Linked DNA regions of Saccharomyces cerevisiae S288C. The gene in region 3 interacts genetically with the main gene of each other region. Each region holds a gene or a part of one and is shown on either strand. Other genes may lie near its edges.

Evidence for each region.
Region 1: mutations in PFK2 (region 3) and CHS1 impair growth when combined (synthetic growth defect), as found in Saccharomyces cerevisiae (2 studies listed by BioGRID).
Region 2: mutations in PFK2 (region 3) and RKM4 together harm fitness more than expected from each alone (negative genetic interaction), as found in Saccharomyces cerevisiae (2 studies listed by BioGRID).

Annotation. Positions count from the first base shown.
Region 1 is NC_001146.8:274,854-280,397, reverse strand, and holds CHS1 (chitin synthase CHS1), read right to left. Parts: upstream 3,897-5,544; coding exon 501-3,896; downstream 1-500. Other genes in the region: YNL193W (uncharacterized protein), read right to left, coding at 4,354-5,544. UniProt on the Saccharomyces cerevisiae protein: Polymerizes chitin, a structural polymer of the cell wall and septum, by transferring the sugar moiety of UDP-GlcNAc to the non-reducing end of the growing chitin polymer. Required for mitotic division septum formation during adverse conditions.
Region 2 is NC_001136.10:969,490-973,133, forward strand, and holds RKM4 (ribosomal lysine N-methyltransferase), read right to left. Parts: upstream 1,986-3,644; coding exon 501-1,985; downstream 1-500. Other genes in the region: CTA1 (catalase A), read right to left, coding at 1-191; chaperone ATPase HSP78, read right to left, coding at 2,319-3,644. UniProt on the Saccharomyces cerevisiae protein: S-adenosyl-L-methionine-dependent protein-lysine N-methyltransferase that monomethylates 60S ribosomal protein L42 (RPL42A and RPL42B) at 'Lys-55'.
Region 3 is NC_001145.3:670,043-676,420, forward strand, and holds PFK2 (6-phosphofructokinase subunit beta), read right to left. Parts: upstream 4,725-6,378; coding exon 1,845-4,724; downstream 1-1,844. Other genes in the region: INP1 (Inp1p), read right to left, coding at 21-1,283; YMR206W (uncharacterized protein), read left to right, coding at 5,854-6,378. UniProt on the Saccharomyces cerevisiae protein: Catalyzes the phosphorylation of D-fructose 6-phosphate to fructose 1,6-bisphosphate by ATP, the first committing step of glycolysis.

The DNA of each region.
Region 1 (5,544 bases), on a different chromosome or scaffold from region 3:
CAAATTTCTTCAAGGCTTCCGGATCGTTACCTTACTCCCAAGCAATAAACGTGAAATCTGTTTTGTATATATATTTGCAGCTTTTTTTCTTTTGTTCTTTTTCTTTTTTTGGAGATGCGTCTTAAAAAGCGCCACAGTTTCAAGGGTCCGGCGGATAATTTGAGCAATGATAGTATGAAATGCCAGATTACTGTGTATTAAATAATACTTCATGAATTTGCGAATGAACCACTTTTTTGAAAGTTTATGGATATAGATGTGCACATGTCGTTTTTTGAGCTTTGGGTGTTTAGAGCGGAAGAGTTGGTGTTGTGAGTTTCAGTTTTATCAATTATTTATGTTTTTCTCTCAGAAGCCATTTTTTTTTGGTTTTATGGTAAAGGCACCCTTTAAAAATAATACTAAATGTTTCTTTGAAAAATACCATACTTACAACTAATTAATTATTATATGATAGTAAACACATATACTTATTTATAACAAAGGGGTAATCAATCTACTTAGCGAAATGTAACCTTTTTAAAAAACCTTACTATCATGTATATTGAGCAACCAATGAACCTTATTAATGCCGATAATGCAACTAACCATAAAATTACATTAAAATAAATTGAGGCCTTACTGGTCATTAAGGGAATTTCCGCCTTCTTTGCAGTTTCTAAAGTGTCATCAGTTGATATGGATTTCATAGCAATATAATCTGCAATCCCACCGGTTTCTAAGACAACAGCAACGATGATGAAATTTGTGATGACCCAAAAGATAATCACGAGAGATCTAACGTTTGCATAATAGCCAGTCTTTTTTTCATCATAAGATGGCTCAGTAGGCCGAGATTCTGATTTTGGATCGAAGTCATTTAAAACTTTCAAATATTTATCGTAGTTTGCTTGAATCTCTGAACTAGAGACCAGAACTTCCATTTTGAACGTACCATCTTCTGTAGTATTAATCTTACCCAGCGGATTTGCCATTGCACCCTTTGTACCCCATGATAAGTCGTGGACATTACAAAATGCATAGATATTCAAAACATTGATGTAAGAAGGACTCAATAAAATATACTGAATAAAACTTGTCAACATATGCCATGGCTGCAAATAGATAATTGAACTGATTAGGTACAAACAATAAGTGGAGCCCAGAGAGATAACAATATCCCTGAAAGCTTCTGTGGTAATCAAACCCTCAAAGCTGATGGTATCGTTTTTCAATATATTTTGGAAGGATTTGACACTCATGAATATACTGCAGAATATCATGTAAATCATCATCACCGCAAAAATGACGCAAGTTAGAACATAAAATTTCTCAGTACTTTTAGGTTTATTACCCAATGACAGTATGAATGTTGATAAGGTACAAATCCCATAAAGCCACAGGAATATGACGGACAACACATTAAATGCTGAATGGTATGCCAGTGCAATAGAAACAGTGAGAATTCTAAAGACTAGGAAAAATGAACTCAATGAAAACCATGAAATCAATGTATTGAAGAAAAGGTAAAAAAATTCAACCGTCAAAAGGAGTTTTCTACCAATATTATGACCACTGCTCCAGACTCTGTAAAAATGACAAAAGGAATATACACTAGCAAAAAATGAACCATTCAACCAACGCCTCCTCTGAAGAATAAATTCAGGGACCCTCTCCGGTACATCTGTTGAAGCATAAGAACTTCTGCAGTATTTCAAAATCCAATTACAATTTTTTTTTGTGACCACTTCAAAGCATAAAATACGATCTTCAGCAAGATACATATTGGAAGAAAAAAAATGAAAACCTTCATTTTCCATAATTTCACCATAAAAGTACTTCTGTAATGGTTGGCCTCTCACAGCTTCAAACCTATACGCAGAGAATGCCCCCGGTAGAACAGTAATAAATCCAAAGTTAGACTCGGTTGTTTTGTCTAAAATATTGGACATTTTGTATTCGAAATTCTGTGATGCAACTAAAGGATTCAAAAGCTTTACAAATCTCTTACCCAAATCAGTTCTTATTTCACCACATGCGCCACCAACATTTGGATTCCTGAACTCTCTCCATAACTGGTAAATAGAATCTTTACCTGGCATGGTACCAGCATCTAACAATGTAACGATATTGGGACGCAGTAATTCTGCAAAGCCTTCAAATGCCCATCTATGTGAGTTAATTTTTTTCTGATTTTGCTCTTTCAAACAAAACAAAAGTTGTATTGGAACGGTACCTTGATTGCATTCTAATGAAACCTCTGATTCCGAAATATTTGTGATGTTGATCATTGTCGTATGTTCGTAGACATGCATTGCCACTTTTTTTTCATTAATTTCATCCTTAGCAAACCCGTCCTGGTAACAACCTAACGAACTTAGTAATGCTAGCGAGCGTTCATTAATTTTGGATCTACCATCTGAAATGATACAAACGACAATCTTTTTCCATGCATCCGGCCCCCAAGTGCTTGAATTTTTTTTTTTCACCATATATTTGACATTGTCCATAATACCTTTCAAAGTTCTTCCTAACAGGATATGGTCTTCATTATACATTGTGACTACTAGCATCAATTCCGTTTCCCTTGGAGTTAAATACTTCAACTGCCTCACCGTGAAATTCTTCTCTGCAAGTTGATTAGGTTCGCAAGTAACTGCTTGATATCTCATAAACTTAAACTCATTTGGTAAAGTGTTTGCATTTTCTGTTGTAGTAGCGTATTGGTCCAATAGCGTCTTACTGATTGGAGAATCGAAAACAAAATTACCATTCCAAAGTTTGAATTTCCTAATTTCAGTACCGCTTCTCTTTAGTGCTCTATTTGCGGTTAAGTTATCATTGCTTACTATTATGTCGGATTCTTTAGATCCGATAGAAGACACCGAGGATGATGCAGGTACACCATTAGCTTGAAACTGTAATTTATCAATAGTGTTGAGATCATCGTACTCGTCATCCCTTGAAAAATCATCCTTGTCATATTCCCCCAAGTCTCTATGAGAGTAACCGCTTTTCACACTGTCTAATTCTTCTTTTCCATCGTTTACGGGTCTGCTATCATCATGAAGATATTCTCTACGCTCCATAGGAGTCATATGTCTTAAACTGTTTTCATAATCGTAAGGATCAACCATTTCACCGTTTCTACCCAAATATGAATTAATCTGATAGTCATCTCCTCTCTGATCAATATAACCACCCTCCGGATCGTCATAGTAATCTTTTGCCTGTAGGCCATGGTAACCATTGTTGTATCCAAAAGGTTGGTCATGGTATTGAGGAATATTACCGCTATTCATGTTATTGTTGGGTTGCTCCAAAATGGGCCTAGCTTCCTGATCTGCATAACCATCGCTACTAGAAGCAATACTCGGTGACGTCCTAGAGTTCCTGTTATTATAATAGTAGTCGTTTTCGTTAAAGAAGGGCCTTTCGATGGGGGTGGCCATAGTCTGTGAGCCGTTATGTATGAGTTCTGGAGTGGTTTGAATCACATTTATCGAAGGAAGTGGATATGAAGGTACGTTATTGTATTGATGTTCCGACGGTAGCTGTTGACTATTCGTATTAAAAACGTCATTGTATTCTGCAGTTGCTGGTGGGGGACGCTGGCGATGGTGGTTGACAAAACCTCCATATATGTCTCGTTCGTTATCATTGATAGTATTATTATTGCCATCGTCACCGTTATAAAGCATATTTGTTTGCTGAGATTGTTCTGGAAATTGCAAAGATTGGACTGGAGTGAATGAACCCATGCTGGCATTTTGATTGGTATATCTTTGGTTCCTGTTTGTTAATTCTTCATTAGAAGAGTGAAATAGCCCGCTATGTGCATTTTGGAGTTCATAGGAAGGTTCATTCTTCCGGTTTGAGTGATATTCATTTCTCGATCGATTATTTTGATCACTCATTGTATAGTTTTTTTGGTTTGGCTTCCCAGTATTAATTTAGTGACTCTTCGAGGAAGGAAAGAAGAGAGAAGAAGAAGAAGAAATGTATACTGCGTATTTAAACAAGCAGTACTGCAAGGTCCGGTAGGCCTCAAAATGTAAGTGTTCTGATCCTTTGGAGTACCGACGTAAAAAATGAACCCGAGATATATATTAAAATCAATAATTTGTAACAAATATTATACCTAGTTTGGCCAAGAAAATCAAATTTCACACTAATGGCTGTGTCGCGTCATTATCGCGTTACCAAGCCACGCGATTTCTAAAAAAAGACTGCTGGGCCCCGTCTCGGCTTTGTTTCAGAGGTAATGTATGTTTCCTGCATGTATTTACTTGTATCAAATTTCGTTTCACCAAGGGTTCTTGTAGCATATGCGCAACGAATTATCTTCTACTTATGTATATGTACGTAATTTCACTACCGATAGTGGCTATAAAAAGGGTGTTCTGGTGGCATATCGAACGTCATTGCGGTAGGCGAAGCAGAAGTACCGTCATCCTCATTTGACTTCTGTTCCAGCCTCTGTAAGAAAAGTAGTCTTTCCTTGGCTTGATTATGGATATAGTTCCTCTTCAGTTTATCAATAATCGTTTCTTGTAACCCGCACTGTTTTGATGAGATAGCGACAGCATTATTCAGAAAAACGTTAGCGTTTTTCATCAATATGTTTAAAGTATGCGCTCCCCCGGGGGTTTTTTGTGACTTTTCAGTTGATTCTTTTATAGCGTACCTTCTCAGTTCATTATCGGAGGAATTTACTAAGACATCACAAAGTTGAAAAACTACGTGACTCAATTGTTCGTTCAATGTCTGATTTTTCAGAAACAAGATTTGATTTCTATAGTCTGTTAATAAAGTTCTAGCCTCTGTAAGAACTTTGGTCAATAACCCAGAGAGTTTCCAAGATGCATCTGAAGAATAATCGTTTAAACATAGAATGGCAAATTCAACGATATCAACTCTAATCAACGAAAGATCAATCTTACCCTGTACATCTTTTTCATCAAGCAGATCGGTAAAGGAGACGGTTTGCAGAACAAAATCTTGCAATGACTCGAAGGTTCCGGAGCTAATGATGTTCAAACCTTCAATTAAAGTCTTGGCTAAACCGATTTCCTTCAAATCTAATGGAATGGCGGCGGAAATGGAGTCTATAATGTCGCGTAGTTGTAAATAGAATTTATTGGTTGTATCTTCCAAGAAATTAATCTGAATAGGATTCAAGATTTTCGTTTCGACATTTTTTTCAATAGATATTTTCGACTCAATAACCAATTCCATCAAAGCATGGTTGAACTTTAAAGAGTTGGCGAGTACTTCGGTAAGTGAAGACGGAGTCACTTGTTCAGAAACGTCCATAACTTCTGCTGGAGGTTGTACAGGTCCATTGGTTCGGATACCACTTCCGTCCCTGGTAACTTGCATCGCGTCTTCATCCAAAGTATCTCTTTGCAATTCCGTATCTGTGTCATCGGAATCTTGTTCTGCATTTTCACTCCAGTTTTGTAGTTCTTGTAACAGATAATTAACCAGGTGTTGAAAGATTTCAATATACTTGTTTGTCAAAGTTAAAATGTCTGCACCTTCCATTGCAACGGTGGGCGAAAC
Region 2 (3,644 bases), on a different chromosome or scaffold from region 3:
ATATTTTCCCTGTTGAAATGAGCCAAAGAATCAATTAAGTTATAATCTTGCAAAAGCAAAGGGCCATGTTCCCCAATACGTTGGGTGACAAATGGTTCATTGATTGGATTACCAGTGGAGTTTGTCACAACTCTATCCTCTCTTACATCAGAGTAATTTACTTCATTTTTTTCTTGTCCCAATTTCGACATCTTCTAGGGTTCCAAATTTATTTGTAAGTACTATTATATTTATTTAACTTACCTTTTAAATAAACCTACAAGAAATTCAAATGTACGATTTGGACATTACAGTGAAGAATGCTTTCTACATCTCTTTATATGTATGGCGATATCAAAACTGGTTGTTTCTCCAATTCTGTCACTGTGGGGATTTTCGGAGTTTATATTTGTTAAAGCCGTCCTTTTTCGGATTAAGGGACCCCACCAACTTGCGCGGCTAATTCCGGCCAACTTTTTGCATTACTAATTGCGGCTTTAAATAGTGGTTAGAACAACCGCTCACTTCTTCACGCAAGGACGTTTGACAGAGCTTTTTTCTTCCTCTGTCAACTTTCTCTTTAAAATATTAGTTAGCAGCTTTTCATCAGGAATAACCTTGTAATTCTTGTCGATGGTTTCTTCACAAACTTGCAGCGAATCTATTTCGCTTTTCAAAACTCTCCGAGCCATAACATCTCTTAGTTCTTCCCTTGTTAATGAGTTTCCTTTCGAAGGTTTTTCGATAGAAACGCACTTTTTTATGGGGTAATCGGCTAGACGCTTCATAATACAACGTTTCCATGTGGCACTACAGTTTGTAGTGGCGCGGGCACCTTCTATCAATTGTAAACACTTCTTTACAATTCTCTCCACTTGCCTTTCCATTGCTTTTATGTCCAGTTTGCATAAACCTGGAATTTGGCAAAGAATTGTCAAGATTTGGACCAAAAGTATTAGTTGAGGCAACAATTCACCATTATTATAACAATCATATGAATCTAGTACTATTTCTTCACCTTCTAAGAATTCTTGAATATTGGCGTTATTGCGTAAGATATCAATACACCTGTCCAAAAATTCAGTATTCGTCTCAAAAGTCTCTTTTAACGCCTCGACAATATTTTCAAGTAACACTTCTCCAAAATCATACTTCGAACCGTCCCATTCAACATACCCATATCTTCTTAGTAGTTCCGAATTTGGATGTTCTCCGTATATGTTGTACACTTGTTCATTCTTTTCAATATCCCTCAAAGCAACCATCTTTAAACAGTTAGAGTCGTAAGTTAAATTAGCGTTGCATTTACTGGTATCTGCATTCAACATATCAGCAAGTGGAATCATCGATTTCAAGTAGCGCTCATTTTCAAGTTCTTCTTCACTGGTTTCTTCTTCTTCATTTTCATTTACACTACTATCTTGCATTTCCAAATCAAAGGAGTAACTCAATATAATGCTTGCAATATAGGCAAAATTATCAAACTCGAAGGACGTCGCTACACGTGAAAATTCTCCACCAATTTGTTTGATTGATTTAATAATTCTTTCATGCATCTCTTTGGCTTCCTTTTTTCCTATTCTTTCAAGGACAAGTGATGGTTTTAAAAGTTGCAGTTCATTATCATCCCAAAAAATTAACGCGTTCATATCGCTTGGTTTGTTCCAAACTTTAAAGTAAGGCGCCCATCGGCTTCTTTCTTGCAAAACTTCCATCTCATAAAGTATACAGATAATTAAACCTTCCCACGATCCGGTTTCGTTCAGGAACTTATCCTTGAGAGAAGGATAATCCTTTATCAGTTGAGATGTTGTAACGCTTAAAACAGAACTACGAGGTATTTTAAACAATGTTTCATCCTTCTTAATCTTTTGAGTGGCAACTACTGCGCGGCCTTGATTATCACAACAAAGATCTTTGATTTCTATCTTAGGGGATACTTCAATTTCAGCGGTAGTTTTTAACCAGCAAACAAAGTTTTCGGTATCTCTTGAAAAATCATCCATTTTCGCAAACTTTCCCCTTTATTACTAGTCATATTGAAATGATCGTATTAAGCTTTTACAAAGGTAATGAAATTTTTTCATACTCGAGAGAAAAATATGTGACACATGTGTGTATTACCCGCAGTAACTCTCGAAGATTACATTTGAATAATATCAATACTTCCAGACCAATAGCTTTATTGTATTGCCAGGGCACTTGGTACATGTAACATTCATCCAGTTTATTTGATACCAAAAATCTTTTATTTTAATTCTTCTATTTACAAAAGAGAAATGTGTATGTTTATATATGTATTTTCTTGGGAATTTATTATTCATAAACCGCTTGTGCAGTTACTTTTCAGCTTCCTCTTCAACAACTTCGCCTTCTTCATGATTTGGTAGCACGACAAGCTTAGTATCTTTAACCACCACTCTAACAGTTTCGCCGTTTCTAATTTGACCTTTTAATAAGAAAGTTGCCATGGAGTTCAAAATCTGTCTATGAATTAATCTATTCAATGGCCTTGCACCATATAATTGATCGTAGCCTTTGTCAGTTAGCCAATCCTTCGCTTCATCAGTTAAATCAATTTTCATTCTTTTTTCGGCCAAACGATCTTGAATTTCTGCAATTCTAATATCAACAATTGACCTCAAAACTTTCTTGGATAGCCTATTGAAAACTAGAATATCATCAATACGATTGATGAACTCAGGTGGATAGGATCTTTTCATTGCTTCGATAACTTTATTCTTGGTTGCGGTGTCAATCTTACCATCATCACCCAACTTTGTGTCGTTTAATAAAATATCTTGTCCAATGTTTGAGGTCATCACAATGATCGTGTTACGGAAATCAACATGATGGCCTAGGGAATCGGTCAGCTTACCTTCATCCAACACTTGCAACAGTAGTTTGGAAACATCGGGGTGCGCTTTTTCAAATTCATCAAATAAAACGACAGCATAAGGCTTTCTTCTGACAGCCTCAGTTAATTGGCCACCAGATTCGCTTAAGACGTAACCTGGAGGTGCACCGATTAAACGAGAGACAGTATGCTTCTCTTGAAATTCTGACATGTCAAAACGAATCACATTTGATTCGTCATCAAATAGGAATTCAGCTAAAGCCTTGGTCAATTCTGTTTTACCAGTACCAGTAGGACCTAAGAACATAAAGCTGGCAATAGGTCTCTTTTCACTGGTCAAACCAGCCCTTTGAAGACGTACAGCATCAGAAATAGCAGCAATGGCCTCGTCTTGGCCAACGACTCTTTCTTTTAAAGAATTTTCCATATACAGTAGGCGGTCCTTGTCGCCTTTCATCACCGTTTCTGTAGGAATACCAGTCATTTTGGCAACAACCTTAGAAATATCGTCAGAAGTAACTGAATCATGAAGTAAATTTACTTTATCTCCGTCCTTACTCTTCTCGCTTAAAGCTACCTTCTTCTCCAAGTCAGGAATTCTGGAATATCGCAACTCGGATGCTTTAGTGTAATCACCCTCTCTCTGACACTTTTCCAACTCAATTCTTGCTTGTTCCAAATTTGCCTTAGCATTTTTGATAGATTCAATTTCAGCTCTTTCAGCGTCCCATATTTTTGTTAATCTGTTTAATTCATCATTTTTCATTTCTAGGTCCTTTTCCAACGCTTCTCTTCTTTCCACGGAAAC
Region 3 (6,378 bases):
AGTTATGCTTTGAACTTCATTCAAAGGTCGCCAAGACCAGATATGGATCTCCTCTGAAATCTTCTATGCCTGTCCTGCAGATACGGGGGAGAGTCGATAAAAGGGTATGAACTATATCTTTTGTTTTGCTGTTTCGAATGAATACTTGGGGCTGCTATTGGAATATTCAGTACAGGAGCGGTTCGTCTGATAGCATTTTTGAAAGCTTCATTTATGGAGATTGACACGGCATCGGTAGGGTCGCTCGGATAGAGAAAGCTTGCATTTAGATTAGAGCAAGTGTTCGATATCACGGAGAAGCTATTATCTGTACATCCTTGTTCGTATTCTTCATCCAGCAAGTAATTAAGGTCGTCATCATCATAATTATCATCATCATCATCGTTATCATCATCATTATTAATTATTTCAGTATTGGGGGGCTCTATGTCCGAAGTAGGCGGCAGTTTGAATTTATCGCTCAAAGACTCATTATTCCCAATAGTAGCTCCTTCATTAATATGCGAAAATTGGCAAATTTTGCTAATGACGTTTTCAAAAGCTTTCACACTATTTTCCAACTCTGATTGGGATTGACTAATCAAAGGTAGAAATTCGATTTCCCAGTACCGTTCCGGATTATAAAAGCTAATAAAGTATTTGAAACCTGCGCCATTTAGCCTTGTTATTTGTAGTTTGGGTAGTACTGGATGCACAATATCACCATGTCGTCCTATCGATAAATAGTTTACTACATGCCCATCATGACTACTAGCTTTACTAGATTTTTGAAAGGGCGCTATATTTTCCTTTAACTTATCAAACCCTGTACATATCTGATATATTTCAATAGGTCCTTTTGCCATTAAAGATGTAGGTTTTAACTTAATAGTGTTTTGACTGTCTTGACTTTGCGTATCATTGAAGAATACTCCACTACTTTCAGTGACATTATTTGCGGATACTTGGGAATTTCTACGAATGCAACTGCTATTCGGAATATCATTATGAATGGGAACGAATGAATTCATAACCTGAACATTGCCATAGGTAAACAATGAAAATCTCTGAGTTGATATTCTTTTCCTTTGTGTTCCGGTTTTCTTCGAGGACGTGCCATTTTTTTTGGCTTTAACAGATTTATTTGTATCGTTTGAGTGTTGGGTCGAATCCTGTTTCAACTTTTTATTGTTGCTAAGTTTAAGTGACTGTTTTAAAGTTTGAAACGTAGATTGAGGTTTCTTTTCTTGTTTTGCCGTTAATCTCACGCTATTTTTCTTTGTTTCTCCCCTTGATAAAACCATACCACTTTGTTTAATTTCCTGAGAGTTATCAGACGAAAAATGTAGACCTTGTATCCTTCATAGGTGAAGGAATACTTCCTCCGTAATAAGGTAATTTAAAGTTCATAGTTCATTCACTCTTTTTGTTTACATCTCCGTTCTTCGTGATAAGTTCATAGATAATAAGAGAACAAAGTATTTAACGCACATGTATAAATATTGTATTAAAAGGGTACCTTTATAAATATGAGATCCGAGGGACGTTTATTGGAATTATCTTTTAAATCGTCTATATCACATATTCCAGTATACATAAGTTTTAATTTTAGAAAACGTTTAAATAAACAAAGAGAAAAAAAATAAGACACAAAAAATAACAGTATCTTTATTCTTGACATTCATAAAAATGCATGATAATATTGGTTTCATGGGGTAGTACTTGTATTATTAAAAGAAAGGAACAAAAAATTCATTGTTCAAAAGCTTAGAGATAAAAAAAAAGAATTATAGACACAAAAGAAAAACATGGGTTAACATTAATTGACATTAATAATAGAAAGTGTAATAAAAGGTCATTTTCTTTTAATCAACTCTCTTTCTTCCAACCAAATGGTCAGCAATGAGTCTGGTAGCTTGCCAGTGAATGACCTTTGGCATTCTCATGGAAACTTCAGTTTCATAGTCATACAATTGTCTAATGGAGTTGTAAACGACATGTGAACCCTTAACACCAACGACAGCAGCAGTGTCAGAAATGGTCTTGTCATCAGCGTTGAAGTTTTCTTCGGCAGCACGAGCTTCAGCAATGGCAGCTTGGTTGTCTTTGATGAAGCCGACAGCTTTAATGGCCATTCTAGTGGCTCTTGTTCTATCAATTGGAGATGGCAAACCACCTTGTTGTACATGACCTGGATAAGCTGGCTTAGCGTCAAATCTGCCATCGGCTTCAGCAGTAATAACTTCAGCCAATTTAGTGGCTGATAAAGCCTTAGAAGCGTTTGTACTCTTCAAAATCAATTTACCAAATCTACCTCTACCTTCTGCCTTTTCAAAAGATTGAGCTAAGTATTCAATATCCTCGGACAATTGCTCCAAAGAAATACCTTCTTCTGGGACATAAGAGACTTGAGCACCAACAGCCAAAGAAGCGTAAGTGGCCAAATAGCCTGAGTTACCACCTTGACAATCGACAACGAAGGCTCTACCTCTGGTTGAAGAAGCGGATTGTTTAACAACATCACAGTATTCCATTAGAGCATTCAAAGCGGTATCAGAACCCAAAGAGTATTCAGTACCTGGAACATTGTTAGACAAAGTAGCTGGTATCAAGACCATTGGGATTCTGAAAGCTGGATAACTTTCTCTTGCTCTCTCTAATTGATGTAAAGATTCAAAAGCTTCGAAACCACCAACGATGATCAAACCATCAAATTCGTACTTTTGGAAATAGTAAGCAATCATACCTAGATCTGCTTCTTCTGGAGTGACTCTGTTAGTACCGATTTCAGAACCACCACGGGATTGCCAACCCAACATATCCTTCCAGTTCAAAGAACGAACACTTTCATGTCTTGCCAAACCAGACCAACCATTGTAGATAGCGTATGGTCTGTGACCTTGGGACATACAGTAAGTAGCCATCGAGTAGACGGCAGAGTTGATACCACCAGCTGGAGCACCGACATTAACAATGGCAATCTTCAGTCTCTTGTCCTTTGGTAGCTTTGGTTCGTTGTGGTCAGCAGAGTTGATAGCCATGAAATTGTTTAAATGTTCAATGAACTCAGTGTCTCTTAAAGACATAGCTCTCTTGAAATCCTTAGCTTGAATGGCTTCTGCAACTGCTTTGGTCAACTTGACGGATTCCATTAATGGTTTACGAACAATTTTGTTTTCGTTAACAGCAATCAATGGTGATGGGGTGTCTGGAGTGGATTCCAAAACGGCATTAACGGCCTCAAGACCTTGTAAAGTAGCCAAGATACGGTCGTAAGCAACAGCAGTACCACCTCTTTGAACGTGACCTAAGGTAGTAATTCTTGTATCCAAACCTAATCTGTCAACTAGAACTTTGTGGACGTCGCTTGGAGAAATTGGGGTCAAGTCAGCAGCGATAGCACCTTCTGCAACAACAACAATGGTGGTTCTCTTACCCCTTGATCTGTGCTTGGAGACAATGTCACACATTTGATCTTGCCATTCGCTGGAAGTGGCTGGCTTCTCTGGAATAAAGATATAGTCAGCGGAAGTGGCGATACCAGCTAATAAAGCTAACCAACCACAGTTTCTACCCATAACTTCAACAACGAAAGCTCTTGAGTGAGAGTTGGCAGTGGCTTCAACGTAATCGATGGCCTTACAGATTCTGTCCAAGGCAGAGTAAGCACCAATAGTAGCATCCGTGGTGGACATATCGTTATCAATAGAACCGACAGTACCGCAAATATTCAAATGCTTCATTCTTTCGTATTGTTCGTTGGAAATTCTGTTTGTTTTCAACAATTCCTCGATCAAAGAAGGCCATTCTGATCTAAACAGATCAGCACCAGTCAAAGAACCGTCACCACCACAAACGATCAAAGCATCGACACCGGCCTCAATCAAATGTTGGGCACCCAATAATCTACCTTCGCGCTTCTTGAATTCCATACAACGGGCAGTACCAATGTTGGTACCACCTTCAGCAGACCAACCACGGACGTCTTCCCAGTGGAATTCCTTGATGTATTCTGGACCACCACGAACCAAACCTTCATAACCTTCCATGACAACAAAGGCACGACAACCTTTGAAGATAGCGGAACGCACGATGGCTCTAACGTTAGAGTTCATACCTGGAGCATCACCACCGGAAGTCATGACGGCAATTGCCTTTTGAGGCCTGTTCAATGGCTTTGGCAGAGATGGATAGGTGTCGGTGGTTTTCATACGGTAAGCCAAATCAGTGTAAGAGTGAACTTTAGAGGAAAGACCAGACTCAGCAGAAGCTTCTGGTGCTGGTGGTGGAGTTGGCTTGGTTGAAACTGCGTTCTTAGTAGAAGTAACACCAACAACGTTACCTAATGGGTCCAAAGTGTACAACTGCATTGGAAATAGTTCTGTTGGGTAGCCTTGAAGAGGAGCGTTCATAGCATTTAGAGTGTCCTTGACTGCCAAGATGTCGGAAGTGTTAAATACCAAGGATTGGGTGGCATGTGATCTCCAGTCTTGAGTCTTGGTAATACTGTTCAATTCCTTCAAATGAGCCTCAACATTTTTATTGATTTTTTCATCAGGACGTAGAAGGATCTTCAAAGAGATGGAATCGTTAGACAATAAAGTGGAGTTTTCATCTGGAGAAGAGCGGTTTTCTAATGACAAAAACTTGGTGTAAAAATCTATGGCAGCTTTATAAGATTGAACGGAATATGCAGTGACGGTACAATAAGAAGTACCATTCACAAAAGGAGTAGTAACAGTCATTGCGTATGGTTAGTTCTTGGCCAATGCTAAACTAGTCTCTAAATCTAGTTCTATTGTTCAAATGAGGTATAAGAAAGGCTTTTAAGCAAGAAGAAGGAAAAAAAAAAAAAAAAAGGAATTTTCTTCTTTATGAAACCGAAGATAAGAAGCTTTTAATCAAGGAAGTAATAAATAAAGGACAAAAAGAAGAAAAAAATATTATTGTTTTATAAAATGCAAGTAGGAAAAATAAGAATGAGAGCGGATAAAAAAAAGGCAGGAAAAAAAACAACAACATGAAGCGAGAGACTTCATTGCGATGTAATAAATGAATGGTAGATAAAGACCGGATGGAAAAAAAGGCCGATTTAACATGGCAAACAAAAGATTACATACGTACTGATCAAATTGATCAATTCAATATCTCTGTTTTCGTTTTTAACATTCAACTACCGTCATAGCGTTATACGTAGGAAAAAAAAACCGCAATCACGTAACCGTGGCTTCCACTAATCGGCTCTTGTGCCGTCAGATTCCGGATGTACGGGTGGACGCCATTTGGAACGAAAAAAAGAAATTGAAAAAAGTGGAAGCTAGAAATCACTGTCTTACCCTGGACGGTATCGTATATAATGACTCCGGTTTTTTTTTCTCTACCCCCTTGCCTCTTACCCCGGATTTTACCCAACTTTATCTTAATCTTCGTTTTCCTTTTAGCGTGGAGATGGTAAACGCTAGCGGTAACGTTAACGTTGCAAAGGGGGTATGCGGGACTGGCTGAAACGGGCGATGATACGATGCAACAAAGCAGCAGAGAATGGCTATGAATAGTCTTTACACCCACAGTTTTTCGTGTGGCAGTTACTATATATTAGTAGGATATTCGATCTATATAGATGGTAGTACTTACAATGCTGTTCTTGGGTTTTTGCGGATCTTCTTTCTTTTTTGTAGTTTTATTTTATGTCTTACTTCTTATTTCCTTCTTACTTCCTCATTGGTTAAGGCTCACGTTGATTGCAATAACAAAGAAGTATATACTGTAGCATAGCTCTTCATATCATTTTTGCCGTGCATTCGAAGACTATATATATATATGCATATTGTCTGACCTTTCGCCTTAAAGTAAAGAAGACAACAGAATATAACCATGCTGAGTAGCAGTAGCAATAGACCCATATCTGCCCATCTAACCATCCATTACAAGGCTATTCAGGAGGAAGAGGGGGAGGATATGAGAAGCGGTGCCGGAAGTGGTGGCCATCATGACGACTATTTTCTGGAGAGTAACAGATCTCCCACTCCTAATAAGAAACATGAGTTCATTAAAACGGTGCTCAATATCAACGATAACGACTCTGAATTTTCGGAATCGTGCTCACCAAGAGAGAAGTTACATAACGAGGGGGCTTGTAATACAGACCTGTTCGGGGACTTCATGTCTAAAAGACAACAGAGGCTGTCTAATTCTATGAACATTTACGACCTTTATCAGTGTGTACATAACCTGTCGCCTAGCAACAACAACCATCAGTTCATAGCAAGAAGGTTCAGCGATTCTCATATTCCCTCCTTGCATCACCGCCAGCAGCAACAGAAGGTAACAACAAAAAACTTTGTACAGCCCACGAAGGACATTCAAAGGATCGCCTCGTACGCTGCGGATTCAGACCAG